Oryctolagus cuniculus: one gene and its partners. The protein of the gene in region 1 interacts with the protein of each later gene in a pairwise test. Links are inferred from orthologs where the notes say so. Each region holds a gene or a part of one and is shown on either strand. Other genes may lie near its edges.

Region 1 (4,325 bases):
TCCCAGGGGCCTCCCTCGCCCGGACACGTGCATCGCTCGCTGGCCCGCAGCCCCGGGAGAGCGGGGGTCCTGGCCTGTTCCTCTCCGCACCCGTCGCCCTGGGGGCGCTGCGCCCAGTGGGCTCCCACGCCCTCCCGCGCTCACCATCAGGTTGGCGTTGGCGATGTGGTGCTTGACCATGCCGCCGCCCAAGATGATCATCCCCGTGCGCTTGGCGAAAATGGCCTGCGTGTTGATGAGCCGCAAGTCTGCGGGCAGAGAGCGCGCTCAGGCCCCGGCCTCAGCCCTCCAGCACCCACCTTCCCTCTGCCACTCCCAGGGCCCCAGCGCGCCTCACCCTCCACGATGTCCAGGACCAGGCCCGGGTTCTTGTAGGAATGGAAGAAGATCATGTCTCCCAGGGAGCCGTCGGTCAGCGCCGGGCTCAGCACGGGGATGTGGTTCTGCAGGCGGGCAGACAGTGAAGGGCCAGGCTGAGGCTGGGGAGCAGCCTGCCTGGGCCCCTCTGCTTGCCGCAGGAGGGCGCCTACGTGACAAACGCACACCCAGCACTTGGCCCCGGCCTGGCACTCTGGGGCGGGGCAGGAGGCCCCTGCATCCTGAGCTCAAGTCCTGGCTCCTGCGCATGTGCGCTGAGCGGCAGCAGGGATGGCTCAGGTGCCTGGGCCCCCGCCACCCACACTGGGAGACCCGAGTAGAGCTCCAGGCGCCTGGCTTCTGCCTTTGGCCCAGCTCTGGCTGTTGCAGCCATTTGTGGGAGTGCACCAGTGGATGGAAGCTCACACCGGTATCTCTTGTTACTTGTCAGACTGCTGGAATTCAGAGCGGCGAGGCCACGCTGTGTGTTAGCGGCCCTCACCTTCTGTGCCCAGTAATACACAGACTCCGGGCTGTTGATCTCCTTGCCGAGCCGGGCAATCATCTTGGAAGGCGTCCACTTCACACCCTGGGAGGGGGGATGTCAGCAGTCAGCCCACGCTCCTCTAACCCCCAGCACCACACTGGACCCCATTCCCCACCCCCCAAGACTCTTCAGCCCCCACCTCTGTGTTCTGCTCCAGCACCATCTGGTCCAGGATGGGCATCAGCCAGTCCTCAAACTTGCAGTAATTGTCATTGGGCACCAGCAGGTTCCCGATCCTGGGGACAGAAGGCACGCGGCCATCAGCCCCCACCCCAGCCTCAGCACCCCCCCCAGCGGTGCACAGGGATGCCCCCTCCCCTAACCTGTTGATCCCATTCTCCCGGAGCTCCTTCCCTCTGAGGCTGAACTCGCCCAGGTACGTGGGCGCCAGGCACTTGATGAGGTCTTCCTCCACACCTCCAGCCGTGGTCACCAGGACGTCCACCTGCAGCTCGAAGGCAGTGCAGTTGGGCCCCCGCCCCACTCCCAGGGAACGGTCCCCAACTCAGCCTCAACCCTGATCCCCAGGAAAGAGCTTGGCCACTTTGGGGGACAGGCACCACTTCCGGATGCCTGTATCCCCCCCCCTCAGAGTGCAGCCCTGGCTGCTCTACTTCTTGTTTTAGGGCATCCTGGGCAGGGGGCAGCAGGTGCTGGCTCAAATACTTGGCTCCCTGCCACCCACATGGGAGACCCGGATGGAGCTCCTGGCTCCAGCATGGCCCAGCCCAAGCTGCTGCAGCCATTTGGGGAGTGAGCCAACAGATGGAAGATCTGTCACTCTGCCTTGCAAATAACTACGTAAATCTTTAAGAATGACTGCCCAAGGCCGCAGTCCCACCATGCTGTGCTGCACGAGGTAGCGGATGGTCTCCCGGATGCCTGAGCTGATGAGGTTGGACGTGTAGCCCAGGAAAATGGTGCAGCCGGTCAGCGGGCGGCGGCTCTTGGTCAGGTCCTTGTGCTGATCTTCATCCTGCGACAGCGGCTCCAGTTTCTTCTCAATCTTGGGGCAGGGGCCGGGGTCAGGTTAAGTTTCCGGCGGCAAACGCCAGGGACCCCCCAAGGTGAGTTCCGGAAATGAGAATGCACTTTCTAGAAGGGGCCACTTCTACTGGGGACTAAAAATCCCGCCCTACAGGCTCTCCGCTTCCGATCCAGCTCCCTGCAAATGCGCCTAGGAAAGCAGCAGGTGACGGCCCGAGTGCCGGGGACCCTGCACCCGCGTGGGAGGCCCCGACGGAGTTCCCCGTTTCTGTCTCTCAAAAATTCGCCTAGAATCCATCTCCTACCAAAAATCAGGCCCCGCCCCCTACAGACGCTACGGGCAAAGGCCGCTTCGCAGTCGGTTCCCGCCCAGGGTGGGCCCCGCCCCTTCGGGCGACACACCCCCTCCGTCCTCCTGGCAGCCACGCCCTGGAGGAACCCTATTGGCTCTCCTAGAGGCCACGCCCCTTCCGGCCAGGAAGTCCCGCCCCGGGCCTCACCATGGCGTTGACTTGCTGCACCGCGCGCCCGAAGTTGGTTGCCTGGAAGCCGGTGGTGCCGAAGGCCTCCAGCAGCGCGCGGTAATCTACGCCGCGGTTGAAGTCGTAGCCCCGGACCTGAGCGCTCTCGGGCGGCAGCGCCGAGCTGTGCTTCAGCACAGCGGCCAGCGCCGCGGCGGGCGCTTCCCCCTCCGGGGAGCCCTCCATGCCCCCCGCGGCAGGGTTCTCACGGCTGAGCCCCCACCCGGGCCGGGCCCACGGCGGCCTCGAAGCGCGCTAGGCCCCAGCACGCGCGTCTCCGCAAGTGCGCAGGAAGTAGGGCTCGGGGAAGATCCGAGAGGGGATCAACGGAAGTTGCTGAGTCACATGATACTCTGGCTCCTGCGGCCTAGGGCGCCGCCATCTTGGCACGCGTGTTCCGTACTACGGAAGCCGTGAGGAGCCGTAAGGCCTTTAGGCGTGCCTGGACATTCCTGCTTTGGCGCCACCTGCTGGACACTCGTGGCGTGGCGCGGCGCTTACCTATGTTTCTGTGCTCTGAGCTTCTGAGCTGTCAGACAGGATTGGGGTCGACAAGACAGTTTCAGCCTCGAGTTTCTCCCGTCAGTGGGGATAATGCTCCCCATTCGTTCCCTCCCAAGTGTCCAGAGCCTCCACGCGCTGCAGGTGCCCCGTTTCTTTCCCGCTGTGGATGCAGCCGTCACCTCCGGGAAGCCTTCTCTGACTTCCTCTGGCTCAGGAGCCTCCTCTGGGATTCAGGGCGGACAGCAGCGCCCCCTACACACCCCGCAGAGCGACTGGGAGGCCAGCACCTCATACACCCTCCTAACCCACCTTGTGCAGGGCACGGAGGGGACCCCTTTGTCCACCCACTCTGCGGTTTATGAGGGCTTGGCTGTGTACGCTGGGGATTTACTGATTAACGAGACCCAGTGAGGCAGAAAACAGGACAACAGGGGTCGGCTCTGTGGGCATAGTGGGCTAAGCCTCTGCCCGCAGCGCCAGCATCCCATAGGGACACAGGTTCCAGTCCTGGCTGCTCCTCTTCCAATCCAGCTCCCTGCTTCTGGCCTGGGAAAGCAGTGGAGGATGGCTCAAGTGCTCAGGCCCCTGCACCTATGTGGGAGACCCGGATGGAGCTCCTGGCTCCTGGCTTTGGCCTGATCCAGCCCTGGCTCTTGCAGCCATCTGGGGAGTGAACTAATGGATGGAAGCTATCTCTCTCTCCTCTCTATGTAACTCTTTCAAACAAACAAACAAATACATCTTTAAAAAATCAATAATAGACTTAGAAGGAGGCCATTAGGGAGGGTCCATGCGGAGTCCCTGTGAGGAAATTTGCATACACAGAGACACGGAGGGGGTGGGGTACAGCCAGAAGAGAGAGGTCCAGAAGAGAGGCCTCCAGCCCCGCCAGCTCCTAGGTCTTCAATTTCTACTCCCCAGGCTTCCAAGAGACAGCGCTGTTGCATGAGCCCCCCCCCCCCCCCAGCCTGGGGTATTTGGCGATGCCAGGCAGCAGCCTGTGAGGCTGGGCTTGTTTATCTATTTACTTTTGAAAGCTGATAGAGAAAACCTCCATCAGCAGGTTCACTCCCCCAGTGGCCATTAGCAGCCAGGGCCAGGCTGGGCCGAGCGCGAGCCAGGAGCTTCTTCCAGGTCTCCCCCGTGGGTGGCAGGGGCCCAAGCACTTGGGCCGTCTTCCATTGCCTTCCCAGGAGCATTAGCAGGGAGCTGGGTGGGAAACCGGGACTCGGAGGTGGGATGCTGGTGCGAAAGCCTGAGTCCTCACTTCTTCATGGAGCCCCCTGGCTGCCTGGACTGGAACAGCCAAGGAGGAGGGGCCCCCCTGCAGAGGGGACACGGGGGGGGGGGGCAGGAGGCGCCCACGGTGACAGCAGAGGCCAGGCTGAGCTCCTGACTTGAAGCTGGTC
Region 2 (4,275 bases), on another chromosome or scaffold:
TTCTGAAACATCTGTGGGCTTTTACTTGAAAAAAAAAAAAAGAAGTCATTTGCTTTAACTACCCATTCCTAACTTCCAGCTTCATTATTAAAGATCATGTTGCTTCATGCTCACATCTATTTTTTCCCATTAACACTACAAAGAATTGTTAAGTAGTGAGGTTTACATAGACAATTGCTTCATGTACTACCTATTGCATGACATAGCAGAACCATATGCTAAAGAAAAATGTGAATAAATTATATAAATGTTAAAACATTTACTAGAGATAGTATTATCAGTAAACAAAGCCATGTTTACTAGAACAATGAGAGACTTCAAAATCAGACATAAAATACTTCATTTTACTTATATTAAAAATATATGAATACTTGCTACCTAATTAGGTATACCTTAGACAGGTCTGGGAACATTTTTCTTCACTATGCCTATTCAACTTAATTGTGTCAAAAGACTGGAATCACGGTGTGCTAATTTTTAAAAAGAGAATGAAAAAGTTTAATAGAATCCAAACTGTGAAATCTAAAACAATGAATCCGATGATTTACCTGAACAAACTTTAGAACCATGTATAAAGTTCTAGCTACTGCTGGCACTTATTAATTCTGCTTATGAGATTATGATCTGTGTTCCTTTTACATTAAAGACATCACCTACTCAATCGCACATACCTATTTACATATGACATCCGGTGAGAAATGAAGAAATGGTCTCACATGCTTGGTAATCAATAAAAATATTTTTTGAGGTTTTAATACCTTACTACAAACACAATCTAAATTAGACTATGATACACAATTTTTTTTCTGTTTGTTAAACTGCTTCAAAACAGGACAGGAATATTTAGTCAATCTTTTTCTCCAAGTTCTTTCTATCTAAGTAAAATACACCCAGACTCCTTTAACATTTGTTCTGCCTAGTGGTTTCAAACTAATTTAAATAACTTGTTATGTTTTAAAAGAGTTCCACTTTAATGTACCTCCAGAAAGACCAAAAAACAAACACCAAAAGGTATGACCTACAACTTGCAAACTTTTAAAGCTTTCCATTTAATTTTTCCCTTCAATTTAAAGAATCCTTAGTCCTCACAACAGCACACAATACAAAATTATTAAAAAGTTAGAAGGTATCACATTTTAAAATCATGCAAATCTTAACAATACTCTAAAGAATGTTTTTTTTTCTGTCTTTTGGAAAAACTCATAAATATTACATTCATGCAATAGCTTAATGAAGTGTGCTCAAATAGCCAGCCCCCCCTTTTTTTTTCACTTAAAACGCTCAGAATTCTTTACTACTTTCAAATAAAATCTTTCTGATAACCAATAAACTAAACAAACAGCTGTAGTTATCTGTATACTTTTAAACTAAGTGTGCTTTGAATGTATGAATTTATAAGATTACCTGAAAGTGTGGGGTCACCTAAGTGGGTAAAGGGAAAGTTGAAATATTTTAAACTCCACTTGAATTCTCACATGAAAACCACAAACTGAAATCAAATGTCATGTGAAACACCCCAATTTCCTTTTCAGCCTACAGCCATCGCAATGGCACTGCAGGGCTAGGCCCTTTAAAGAGGCTCCTTACGCTTGCTACTTCCTCTTCTCGACTCGAGGCCGGCCGGCTACCGAGGGTCACTCACCTGGGCCGGCTGGGGGACCGCGGGCCGAGCGCCAACAAGCCCTCCCTTTCGGCCTCCGGGCCTCTGCTCACGCTGCTCCCGGTACCTGCAAACGGCCCCTGGGCAGCCGCGGCCACCGGACTCAGCCGCCCTGGGTTCCCGGCAGCCCTGCTCCGCGGCTGCAGACGAGCCTGCCCCCAGCAGCCCTGCAAAGCCGCTTCTCGTAATAAACGCGTCTCACCGCCCCAAAGCGAGAGACCCAGGCATTTACGGACGGCCAACAAGCACATTAAACAAGCTGGTTGTTTTCACGAACACCCATTATGTTAAAGCACAGATATTAAAAAAAAAAAAAATCCTCGTTCCCTCTCTCATTTCCAACAAGGCGGTGGCGGGGAACTCAATGTCTCGGCTCGGTAACCTCGCAAAGTACGTGCGCCCGATTTCCCGGGGAAAATGCCCGACTTGGAGGACCAAACTTTCCGCTGGCGCCCGGCGAACCCGCCAGCGGCCACCTGTACAGCCGCGCCGCGCTCGGCCGACGGTCAGCGCGAGAGCGACCGCCGCTCGGCGCCCGACGGGACGAGGGCGCACGGCAGGCAGGAGCTCGCCCGAGGTCCCACGCTTCCTCATTCTCGTCCTAGACCCCAAGCCCACCATTTCGATACCAAGCAAGGCTCAAGGACGCGCACTCTTGGGCCCCCTCCGATCCGGACGGAGGCTTTCCTCACCCTGGCATCCCGGCGTGGGGAATTTCTCAGGTTTCCGGTTATGAAACTGGAATCCAATTACAGAGTCTGGCTTTGATTGCGCACGCAAACCCTGAGGCAGGTAACTTTTTCAAAGCCTGACAATTTGCCAGACGAGGCGATCTTTTAAGACGGAATCTGCCCCGATCCCCCCGACCCTCAGGGCAGCACGACCCCTACCCCCATCCCCCAAAAGAGCCCCCTTCGCTCCGGCCCTCGGCACCCAGCGCCGGGAACACTCACCTGAGGCCATGGCTCCGCTCATCGCGCCGCCCGCACACAGGCAGCTCCCAGCGTCCCGGCCCGAGGCGGCCGCAGACAGTCGGCCCGCCAGTCAGTCAGTCAGTCAGGAGGCCGCGGGACCTCTGCCGGCTGGACCCCAGTCCCCCGGACCACCCCCCGAGGCCTCCTCCTCCTTCCCGCCCTCCTCTGGGTTTGCGGCTCACACCTTCCCACCCCCTGAGTTCTCGCGCTGCGGGTCACCAGCGTCGCCCTTCCCGGGTGCCGGAGCCAGGGCCAAGGGGGCGGAGCGGGACGAGAGCCCAGCGCCGGCCGGGCCAGGAGGCGGGCAGCCAGGCGGGAGGGGGATTTCCCGCGGCTGACGTAGGCCCCCACGCCGCCGCCTTCCCCTGGGGGCGTGGGGCGGGGCGTTCTCGCGGCCGCGCGCGTGGCCGCCCTCGGCGGTCTCCGCCCCGCCCCGCGCGCGTTCCCGCCCCCGCCGCTGCGCTGAGGGCCTGGCAGCTGGGCGGCCGGCACGGGAACCCGGGATACTCGGGAGCGCCAGGGATCGCCCGGAGCCCGGAGCGTGAGAAGGCGGGCAGCTCCTGAGAAAGCCCCCTCCTCCAGGTTGTTCTTCCGAGCGAGTCTTAAAGTTCAGGAGCGGGTGGGAGGGCGCGCTGACGTGAAGAGGGCCGGCCGCCCGGGAGCGCGTGGGGGCGGGCCGCGCGGCGGAGTGGGCCCGGCCTCCCGGGGTTTTCGATGGGTGGTTCCCCCTCTTCCCGATTTCGCACATGCAAATCTCCGCCCCCGCGCCGGCGCGCGTCGTGGCCGCTCCGGAGGTGCGGAAGCGGCCGTCGCCTGCGTGCGCTTCGGATTCGTGTATTTGCATACGGGGACCCCCGCAATCTGATTTTTTACCTCTTTCTATCTAAATTTCTAGGGCTCGGTTAATTTCATGTCTTTGTGCCTGCCAGAACCTTTAACACCGAGAGGTCCGCGCGGCGAGTTCGTGGCCTCCCGGTGACGGACTGGGCTCGGGTTGAGGGAGGTGGCCACTCTGGCTTGGGCGTTGACAGCCACGGGGGGGAGTGGAACGAACAGTTCGTGCCTTCGAGAACCCGGTGTGATTTTGTTCCCATCATTTGCCAAGCACCTGCTGTGTGTCAGATGGCTTGTTCACCACATGTGTAGTGTATTATTATTACCCTTAGTTTCATGGGGTAAAGGGGTTCAGGGAAGGGGAAGCACAGGAACTTCTCTGTGCTTAAGAATCCTGCAAAAGGAAAGCAGGCTTAAACCCGAAGTTGTGCTACTCCGAAGCTCCACCCCCTTTTCCCTGCTGAAAAGATGCAGGGAAAGTGCCAGAAACTCGAGGACCCCGCTGTGGGTATAGTTAAAATCCTCCAACCCCAAAACATCCTCTCCACAAAATGTGCAAAGTACAGAAAGAATGAAACGGTTGTTTTCTTGGATAAGCATTAAAGCATACCCTGATATGCCTGTCACCGGCAGTGCACTGAAGATGGCAGAGCCGGAAAACTTCTCCCTTTTCATCTAACCAGACCTGTAGAATCCATTACCTACCTGTTAGTTGTCTTTCCTCAAAGGAGAAATCCTAGGAAGCCAAGGCTTAAACTCCCAAAGATAGGTAGATGGCGACCCATCCTCTTCGATTTTCACATTTCC
Region 3 (4,221 bases), on another chromosome or scaffold:
GCCCCGGTGTCCGCGAGCACGGCGCGTGTTGACGTGCGTGGTGATGTCTGTCGGAGCGGTGATGATCTAACAGACTTTGTGTTTGGGGGCTTGGGGGGGTCTCCATCCAGCCCGGCCTCCCCAGCGTGGCTGGACACAGGCCTGAACACAGCCAGTGGCACATTTTGTCCCCTGTGGTTTTTCCCCTTGTGTTTTTCGCAAAGCTGAAAGAAATCCCACCATGGGTGGCCTGGGCTGGGGGCAGTGGAGAAAAGGGTTTCCAGCTTGGACTGGACTTGTGAAAAGGCCAGGCGGTGGAGGATCCGGCCCAGGGCGGGCCAGGAGAATGGAGCTGGGCAGAGACGGGGACACCACTCACAGCTCCCGTCCCACCGGCAGCTCTCTGCAGATGCCCGCTGCTCCACCCCGCAGGGTTATAGCTGAGCCTCCCTTGGGGCTGTGGTCCCCTCGGTGACGTCCTGCCCGGTGCCAGTGCCAGCACACTGTCAGGGAAAGGCCTGGGCGGCGGCCACTGCTGAGCCGGGGGCCACACAGCAGCAGCCCCCTCGTGTCCTCCCCACACAGACATTTGGGCAGGAAAGGCAGGTGGCAACACCTGTTTACTCAGCAAGGGATGCCCTCCTGGTCCCCTGGGAGCCCCAAGTGCCCGCAGAGGCCAGGGCGGGGCCTTCATGGGGGTGCACACAGAACAACGAGACTCCAGGATGCTCCCGCGTCCCCCTCCCCAACCCGGGGGGGAGACGCATCGTGTGCCCTTGGCGGCAGGGCCCTGGACCTCTGGACCCTTTGCTTGGTGAAGGCACTGTCCCTTCTGATGCACTGTGGTAGCCTGCTCCCCGCAGGCCCCGAGACCCAGAGCAGCCTCTGCTGCCGATGCAGCACGAGCCCAGATTGCTGGCTTCCGCGTCCCTCGGGGAGGGCACCTATCTGTTCAGTGGGACAGCAGAACAGTCCAGCAACCTCTGGAGGAGCTGGCCCTGCAGGCCTGCATCCCCCACCTTCCACCACGCGTAGTTCTCACCCCGAATCTTCGGGGGCTCCTCCTGGATGCCCGGGTTGCGAAAAGCCACCGCCAGCAGCACGTTCAGGCAGATGCCGTCGGCATGGTCCTTGCCCAGGTGCTGCAACCCCAGCAGCCCCTTGGTCTCCACGGCCAAACTGTGCAGGGTCAGGCACTCCTGGAGCAGCCGCAGCACGGCCACCTTCAGGCCGCCCCTCTGCTCCATAGGGGCGAAGTCACAGGCCGTGACGGGCAAGTGAGGCGCCCCCACCGTGCCCACCAGCACCCATACCGTCTGGGCACCGGTGAAGGTGGCCACGAGCCGCTGGCACACCACACTGCAGGGCAGCTCCTGGGGCAGAACGGGAGGGTGCCTGGCCTGCTGGCGGTACCGGGCGGCCAGCTCTATCAGGTGCAGGATGTCCTGGGCTCGAAGAGGAGTGGCCAGGGAGCTGCGTGGGTACCAGCCAGCCTGCAGGGACTCCGCATCAGCCTCCTGTGAGGTTTTCAGCGTCCCACCTAGGGGAGAGTGGGGGCAGGAGCAGTGGTGTGGGTGGGAAGAAGCACCGGATCTCACAGAGGACACAGACCCGGCAGGCCACCCTGGTTCTAACCCCGAGCGGGGCCGGGGCCGGGGCTGAGCCTCCCCCACTCCCACCTCCCCAGGCTAGGGTCTGCCAGTGCCAGAGCTGTAGCAGTCAGCACAGGGCTGGCTAGGGAGTGGGCTCATCTCACCGGAAGACCACAGGGTGGGGGTGGAGGAGTCGGAGGAAGGCGGCTACGGCACTGCCCCAGGAGAGCCATACCTGTGGGACGAGCCAGGAACACAAAACGGATCCAGGAGGGGCCTCGCTCCTCCACGGCAAGCAGGGTCTCGGGCTCACACTGCAGCCCCGCCTCCTCCTTCACCTCCCGCTGCAGGGCCTCCACGATGGTCTCCCCGGGCTCCATCCTCCCCGCCGGCAGGTACCACGACCCCCGGCACTCTCTCTTGGCCTCCTGGATCAGGAGCACCTCGTCCTGAGGGGAGAGGGGATTGGCACTCTCCACCACGCACGGGAGAGGCCAGCCAGCCAGGCCCTTCCCTGCCCTGGGGTTGCCCAAGACCCCCTCCCTGGGGGCGGGGGGCCTGCAGCCAGCTGCTCTCTGTGGGTCAAGATCGGGCTGCGCGTGTGTCTCCACTGTGTCACTGTGTGTCTCCCGCGTCCCCATGGGGTGCACAGCCTAGTGGCAGGTCCTCACTCTGGGGTCTGGGTTCTGATCCCCCCCCAACACCCCCATGCAGGCCCACCTGGGGCTCTGGCCCCTTCTGATTCTTATCTCACAGCCTACAACAGGGACCCAGAGCAGCGACAAGGGGTCAGATCTGAGCGTGAGCCTGCCTTGTGCCATAACCAGGCGGGGGTGGGGGTGGGGGGGCGCAGGCCACGCCTCAGACGTCCCGGGGAGCCAGCTCACACCGTGCTAGGCCCTGGGGGAGGGGAGCTCTGTGCTGCAGGAACCGAGGGCCAGGGCGCAGCCCTCTGTGCACCCGGCCACCCACAGGGCTGCGAGGCGCGCGTGAGTGAGTGCTTTGCAGAACTGGGGAACGCCACGCGCGAGGCGGCGCCGGCCCTGGCCGTTGTGTCTTCGTGCCCAGCAGGGCCCGGCGGGCTCGCTCACCTGCTCGTTGAGGAACACGGCCAGCACCACGTAGGAGACGTTGGTCCGCAGCCGCGCTCGCGGCTGCCCGGCCGGCCCCGAGTCACAGCTGTGCACGCGCAGCCCCCGGCCCTCCAGCACGGCCGCCAGCGCCCCCGCCAGGTCCTCCGAGGCCATCGGGCCCCGGCGGGCGGTGGCCCGGGCCCCGCGCAGCGGCCAGGCGGGGCTGCGGCCGAGCGTGCGGCCCGGCCCGCGCCGGCGAGCTGCCCAACGCGGAAGCGCCCGGCGAGCCCTGGCCGCTGATAGGCTGCGTGGCGCCGCGGCCCGCCCGGATTGGCCCGCGCCGGCCGCCCGGGGCGGGGCCAGCCCGTCAGGGGGCCTAACGCCCTGTGGGGCCGAGCGGACCTCCGGCCCGGCTCCTGCCCCAGGGTCAGCGCGCTGTCTCTCTCTCTCTGTCTCTTTCTGTCTCTCTCTCGCCGCGGCTCCCCGAGCGCATACTTGTTTACGCAGGTTCCGATGGTGACGCCATCTGGCCCGCAGGGTGCGGGGCGCCGCGGCGGTGACGTCACAGGCCCGATGACGTCACGGCGGCCAGGGTGTCCGCCCCGGGACCCGCGGCCCCCGCCTTTTGTCTTAACCCGCCAGGGCATTGTCTGAGATGATGACGACCTAAGTAACTTTCTTCTGACTTCGCTGACACGTACTGGATGTCCCGCCGAGGGCTGGGGTTCGGGAACGCGAGGTTCTGATCCATAATAAAAAGTCGGTTGAGGGTGACAGCCTAAATGCTAAGTGATCACGATCGGGGCGGGCCGGACGCGGGGAGGGGACAGGGCTGGGCACTGGGGGCTGCCCTTAGCGTCCTCCTGTCCACGGCGTGTCCTGCGCAGGGCGCTGCAGCGTGGCCAGCTCCCGCTCGCTCGGCTCAGCCTGACCTTTCCTCCTCGCCGCCAGCTGGGAGGAATCCGAAGAGCCAGCCAAGTCTGGGCTCCTCACCCACACAGGCCTCCCCCACCGGCCCCTCCTCCCTCCGCCTTCGGGGGTTGGGGACAGTAGCTGGCTGATGAGAGCAAAGCCACCCACCCGCCCTGCTGACCGGCCGGCTCTGCGCTCCTTGGGGATGTGGTGGGCTTCCGATTAGGTTCCTGGCAGCTTTTCTTGGCCAGGGTGGATGGCAAGGCAGGCTATTCGAGAGGAGCCGTGTGGGCCCCGGGCAGCCCCGGAGCCTGCAGGCTGGGCTACGCCGCAAAGGCCCACCCTCCTGGCTTGTGCCTGAGAACAGGTTCCACTGGGGAGCCGTAGACCCTTCTCGCGGTGGGGGACTGGCTGCACGCTTGCTGCAGACAGAGCCCTGTGCAGGGCCACACGGGCACCCCCTAAGCTTTTGAGGCACTTGCCCTGTCCAACACCTCTCAACCAGCTCCCTGGGGCTGGGTGCAGTACCCCAGGACAACAGATTGGCTCCGTGCGTGTGTGATCCTCAGTTTTCCCACCTGTGAAGTGGGGGCAGTACTGCTGCCAGACTCCCTTCTGCCTCCAGGGATGACTGAACGAGAGAGTGAGATCATGTCTGGGCATGG
Region 4 (4,570 bases), on another chromosome or scaffold:
AATAAGATCACATATTGAGCAGTTTATGAAAATGCTGTGACCAGAGGATCACAGGACCCTAACCTTGTATTCTCCTGTGAGCAATGGTTCAGAATTTGCTAATTCATTGTTCCAACAACTTCAGGAGAATGGACTACATTTGTTGAATGAATAAATCCCAATAATTCCCAATAATTTGATTCAAGAGCCAAATCTTATGTGATGGTAGTTAGATCAGTGATTCTGGGGCCAAACTGCCTAGATTTCAGTCTTGGCTCTCTGACTTGCTAGCTGTGTGATTTAGGACAAATTACTTTTCTCTAGCCTGTTTTCATAACTAAAAATGCAAATAAAACAGCCATTAATGGACGCCAGGGACTAGGTGTTGGGGGAGGGGGCTAAATACAAATGGCAGGAGGAAACTTTTGGAATGAGGGAAATAGTCACTGTCTGGATTAAAGAGGTGGCTATCTGCCAATCTTTTTCAAAACTAAGAACTAAAAAGCATCCATTTTATTTTAAATTATACAAACCTGGGGTTTAAAAGAGAAGCAGTTAAGATTTAACAAATTTTGGACTAGCTGCCTAAGTAACCTGCCGTACTACCGATCATTCTAGTAACTTTAGGGAAAGCTTAGGTGGTGTCAGGTAAAACAAATTGGGACTCAAGAACCCAGAGTTCCAATCTGGCTCATTCATATACAGTTAGAGGCTGGGTTCCGTTTATGGGAAATCACTTGCTTATAATAAAAGTTAAATTAGACAACACATGTGAAATACATACATGTAAAATGTAGTCATATAGCAACTGTTCATGGGACTATTCATGGGAATACATAAATTGGAGTGGGAAGTAACTTCCTAGGTCACCTCCAGGGTAGCAGAATGTGAGCAGTTTGTGAAATGGAACTGTGAAAAGCACAGCGCATAGCCTTAGGAAGCTTGTCTTTACTTCTATCCAAGTCTATGGGCGCTCGGTGGATTCTGAAGACAACTCAACCGCTCCAATGTGGTTTGGAGAGATTCCAAACTCAGAAATACCTAAGCCAGAAGGGAAGAAGGGCTGCGTTGTCGCACTTTCTGGACCGCATAATCCGGCGGGAGTGGGCTCTCCTGGCCCCCACATTCTTCCGGCCTCTGGTGTGTGGGGCAGGGCAGCTCTGTTCTCCGCCCACTCCTAGGAGCCCGGCCAGGGGCAGAACCGCATCACGGGGTGGCTGGAGCCTCCAGCAGAATCTGCAGCGGGGAGCCACGGACTTAAATACCGCACTTAGGCTCTGCCTCCAGGAATAAGCTAGGTGTGAACTCCAAGGAGAGCTGCAAGTTGTACCAGAAGCCGGAACCCAAAGTCCTCTCCATAACCTCGCGGAACCCTTGGTGAACAGAGGACAGGGACTACAGGGCGCGCGGCTTGGCTGCCGTCAACGCCGACTGAGAGCCGACCGCCACGAACCTAGAAGTTAGAGAGAACAAGCTTTCCGGTCTGCGAGTTTAACCTCGGCAACTGAACTGTTGGAAGCGCTCCGCACGCCGGAAGTGCACTAATCCGCAGCACGTGGGGTTGCCAGGGCGCGCTTCACGTGACTGGGCGGAGCCTTGGGAACCCAGTAGCCAATAGTAGCCCTGGAAGGCGGTGCCTGTGACGCCTCGGGGCCTATCCCGGAAGTGGGGCTGGGTTGGGGGCGGGAAAAGGCGGGGAGACCGGGGTGTGGAAAGTGTGGCGGCCCCGCCCCGTGTCTTGGAACTGCTGCGGCCGCCACCGCCGCCGCCGCAGCAGCTGCAGCGCTGAGGTACCGGGCGCGGATGCGCAGGCGAAAGTCCGGGTTGCCTGCTCAAAGCTGAAAGGTGAAGACCTGGGGAAAAGCTGACTCGTGCTGGTCCCAGAGCGAGGGAGGGCAGGGAAGGGAGCCGGAACGAGCCATGGCCGAGAGGTGGAGGAAAGATGGATGGGGGAATGGAGGCGAGCGCGAGACCTGCCGGGGCTCAGGCCCTTGAGGAGCCGGGCCGGGCCGGGCTGGGCTTTCCCTGCAGAACAGGGGATGCCTGGGCGACTGGGGCGGCGGCGTGCGGGGCGGCGGGCGGGGTGCGCGCCGGCTGCCCAGGGGCCAGGTGCTGCTGACCACGTCGTGTCAACTTGCATCGTTCCCGGGGCCGTGCGGCCTTGGGCTGGGCGCCGAGCAGCGGGCGTGCAGGCGCGGCGCGGCGCGGTGCGGGAAGGTCGCGGGTTTCTGCGGTGGGGCAGCAGGGCGGGGACCTGCTGCCTGCCCCCAGCGCGGGTGAACGCCCGAGGCGGGAGGTGAGCTCCTCGGGGTTTTCCTTTCCCACCCGCAACCACCTCCCGATGGCTGGAAAAGTTTGTAGAGGCCAGAGTTTAGAAAAGTGCCCACTAGTCTTGGGTGGGTGTCGTGCAAATGCAAAAATGACAGTGAATCTTACCAGATAACCTGTCTGTCGCAAATAAGACGTTTCCCTGCCGGCATGCTGGTTATTAAAAAGCAAACACAAACTTTTTGCGTAGTTCCCTCGGAAGAACAGTCCTCTCCCCAGCCCACCATGGCAGACGAAATCGATTTCACCACTGGAGACGCCGGGGCATCCAGCACTTACCCTATGCAGTGCTCGGCCCTACGCAAAAACGGCTTTGTGGTGCTGAAAGGACGACCATGCAAAATAGTGGAGATGTCAACTTCCAAAACCGGAAAGCACGGCCATGCCAAGGTAAGCGCCCTTCCGAGTCGGGCTGTGGCCTCCGCGTTGGGATTTTCATCACTCGTATTCCATTACAGATCTTGACATTTCTATACTTCACGTTTTGTAATAAGCAATTTTTTTTGTTTCCGTAGTTATTAGGTGGTCAGCTGTTACCTTGAATACTTACAGGTACACGTCCTTCTGGGGGGCTTGTCATGTTTCATTGGGAACTGAGTCTCCCCGAATCCTACTGGCCTAGACTAAGATCTATTCAGTTTACCTTTGTGAAAACCTCTTTTAACAATTCTTAGAAACCTAACTTCATCTTTGTCATATACTTTCACAATCTAGATTACTAGAGTTTCTGTTATACTGGGTCTTGACGTGTCATGATACCATTTAGTTTTTTGATGTGTCTCAATTCTGTTAACACCATGGCTTTTTGTTTTTTGTAAGAAAGTAAAAGTAGATGACCCTGGCAGGAGGAGAAAGAATCTGTCATAATAAGTATTGGTATTGTACTCCTGTGTATGCAATGAGTGATACACTTGGCAGAGAATGAACAGGTCTTCTGTTGCCCTCTGTTAGGTTCACCTTGTTGGAATTGATATTTTCACGGGCAAAAAATATGAAGATATTTGCCCTTCTACTCACAACATGGATGTTCCAAATATTAAGAGAAATGACTATCAAGTAAGTACTAATTTCCCTTGCAGAATGATTCTTGTTTCTTAAAAGTACAGATGCTTTCTGTCAATTGTAAATTGACAAAAGCAAAGAGTGATTTGGAAGGTTTTTTTCCTAACCAATTATTAGGCACCACCTATCTGAGAAATTGGAGAAATAGTGATGTTTACCTGGTGTTCCTTATCTAGGATTATTGCTAATTGTTTTTAAACATTCTTGCATTTTTAAGAGGTTGAACACTTTGAGTGTTTCTCAAACCAAGTGACTGCATATTGCAAGTAAGTATGTATTTCATGAAATTACTGTTCTCTCTGTTGTAAAATATCTCAAATTTAGATAACTCCTTCCTGAGTACTTTTATTTCTTTCCTCTGATCAAAGACTTTCAAGGAACTGTTCTTCCAACTAAGTTTTTCTATTAATGAATGTTAGTCAGATTTGGTATTCTTAAGAAGTGAATTAGTCAAGAGCCATAAATAAAAAGTAAAGAAAATACAAAAATTATGTAATTGGTTTATTTATATTCAGTGACCCAGCTGGGACCTTTTGCTAAATTATATGTATAAACTTCAAGTTTTAGCTTTACTTACACATTTGGGTACATCATATTTAATGCTAGCATTTTGTTTGGAGTATTGATGATAAACAACTGACCTCATAGTCGGTGGAAGCTCAGATTAATCATAACTAAAACATTTCTTGAAAGTCTTCAGTTTCCTTATCAAGCATACCATATATTGAACTCTCTTCTGTTCATTTTACATAAAAGAATGTAAGTTTGACAGATTTGTTCTGTTCAACTTAAACTGATTTTTTCTGTGCCTTTTGTGTAGATTTTTAAAGAACATTGCTGTCAACTGCAGTGAGCCAGTGATTTCCTTTTATTCTTTGTCCACCTGCAACCATATTTTCATGTAGTTTTGCCACTTTCTAGCTCGATACTCTTGGATAAGTTATGTAACCTCTCTGAGCCTTAGTCTGCCAAACAGGGATAATGTGAGGATGAAATGAGGGGGGAAATGTACCAAAAAGCAGTTCTGGGCTGGGAAGAATCACTGTGTTCCTGAATTTGTATTTACGAAATGCATGAAGTTTGTATATCTTAAATAAAATTTTAAAAAACTAAATAAATAAAAAAAAACTTTAAAAAAAAAGGCAGTTCTGTTCTGCTCCCTCTTTTCCTGTATAAAATTGAACTTAATCATCCTATTGTT

Evidence for each region.
Region 2: the proteins of DHPS (region 1) and REL interact in binary tests that used the Homo sapiens proteins (3 or more experiments, as listed by UniProt). The two-hybrid records come from large-scale screens. The link is inferred for Oryctolagus cuniculus from reciprocal best matches to the Homo sapiens genes DHPS and REL.
Region 3: the proteins of DHPS (region 1) and NUDT18 interact in binary tests that used the Homo sapiens proteins (3 or more experiments, as listed by UniProt). The two-hybrid records come from large-scale screens. The link is inferred for Oryctolagus cuniculus from reciprocal best matches to the Homo sapiens genes DHPS and NUDT18.
Region 4: the proteins of DHPS (region 1) and EIF5A2 interact in binary tests that used the Homo sapiens proteins (3 or more experiments, as listed by UniProt). The two-hybrid records come from large-scale screens. The link is inferred for Oryctolagus cuniculus from reciprocal best matches to the Homo sapiens genes DHPS and EIF5A2.

The regions. Positions count from the first base shown.
Region 1 is NC_091447.1:62,235,878-62,240,202, forward strand, and holds the start of DHPS (deoxyhypusine synthase), read right to left. Parts: upstream 2,819-4,325; 5' UTR 2,599-2,818; coding exon 2,392-2,598; intron 1,911-2,391; coding exon 1,746-1,910; intron 1,350-1,745; coding exon 1,228-1,349; intron 1,141-1,227; coding exon 1,044-1,140; intron 947-1,043; coding exon 860-946; intron 444-859; coding exon 338-443; intron 249-337; coding exon 145-248; intron 1-144. UniProt on the Homo sapiens protein: Catalyzes the NAD-dependent oxidative cleavage of spermidine and the subsequent transfer of the butylamine moiety of spermidine to the epsilon-amino group of a critical lysine residue of the eIF-5A precursor protein to form the intermediate deoxyhypusine residue.
Region 2 is NC_091433.1:141,821,338-141,825,612, forward strand, and holds the start of REL (proto-oncogene c-Rel), read right to left. Parts: upstream 2,925-4,275; 5' UTR 2,636-2,924; coding exon 2,614-2,635; intron 1-2,613. UniProt on the Homo sapiens protein: Proto-oncogene that may play a role in differentiation and lymphopoiesis.
Region 3 is NC_091439.1:1,194,086-1,198,306, reverse strand, and holds NUDT18 (8-oxo-dGDP phosphatase NUDT18), read right to left. Parts: upstream 2,925-4,221; 5' UTR 2,819-2,924; coding exon 2,663-2,818; intron 2,021-2,662; coding exon 1,807-2,020; intron 1,520-1,806; coding exon 924-1,519; 3' UTR 581-923; downstream 1-580. UniProt on the Homo sapiens protein: Mediates the hydrolysis of oxidized nucleoside diphosphate derivatives. Hydrolyzes 8-oxo-7,8-dihydroguanine (8-oxo-Gua)-containing deoxyribo- and ribonucleoside diphosphates to the monophosphates. Hydrolyzes 8-oxo-dGDP and 8-oxo-GDP with the same efficiencies.
Region 4 is NC_091435.1:109,407,325-109,411,894, forward strand, and holds the start of EIF5A2 (eukaryotic translation initiation factor 5A-2), read left to right. Parts: upstream 1-1,646; 5' UTR 1,647-1,824; intron 1,825-2,497; 5' UTR 2,498-2,532; coding exon 2,533-2,697; intron 2,698-3,258; coding exon 3,259-3,363; intron 3,364-4,570. UniProt on the Homo sapiens protein: Translation factor that promotes translation elongation and termination, particularly upon ribosome stalling at specific amino acid sequence contexts.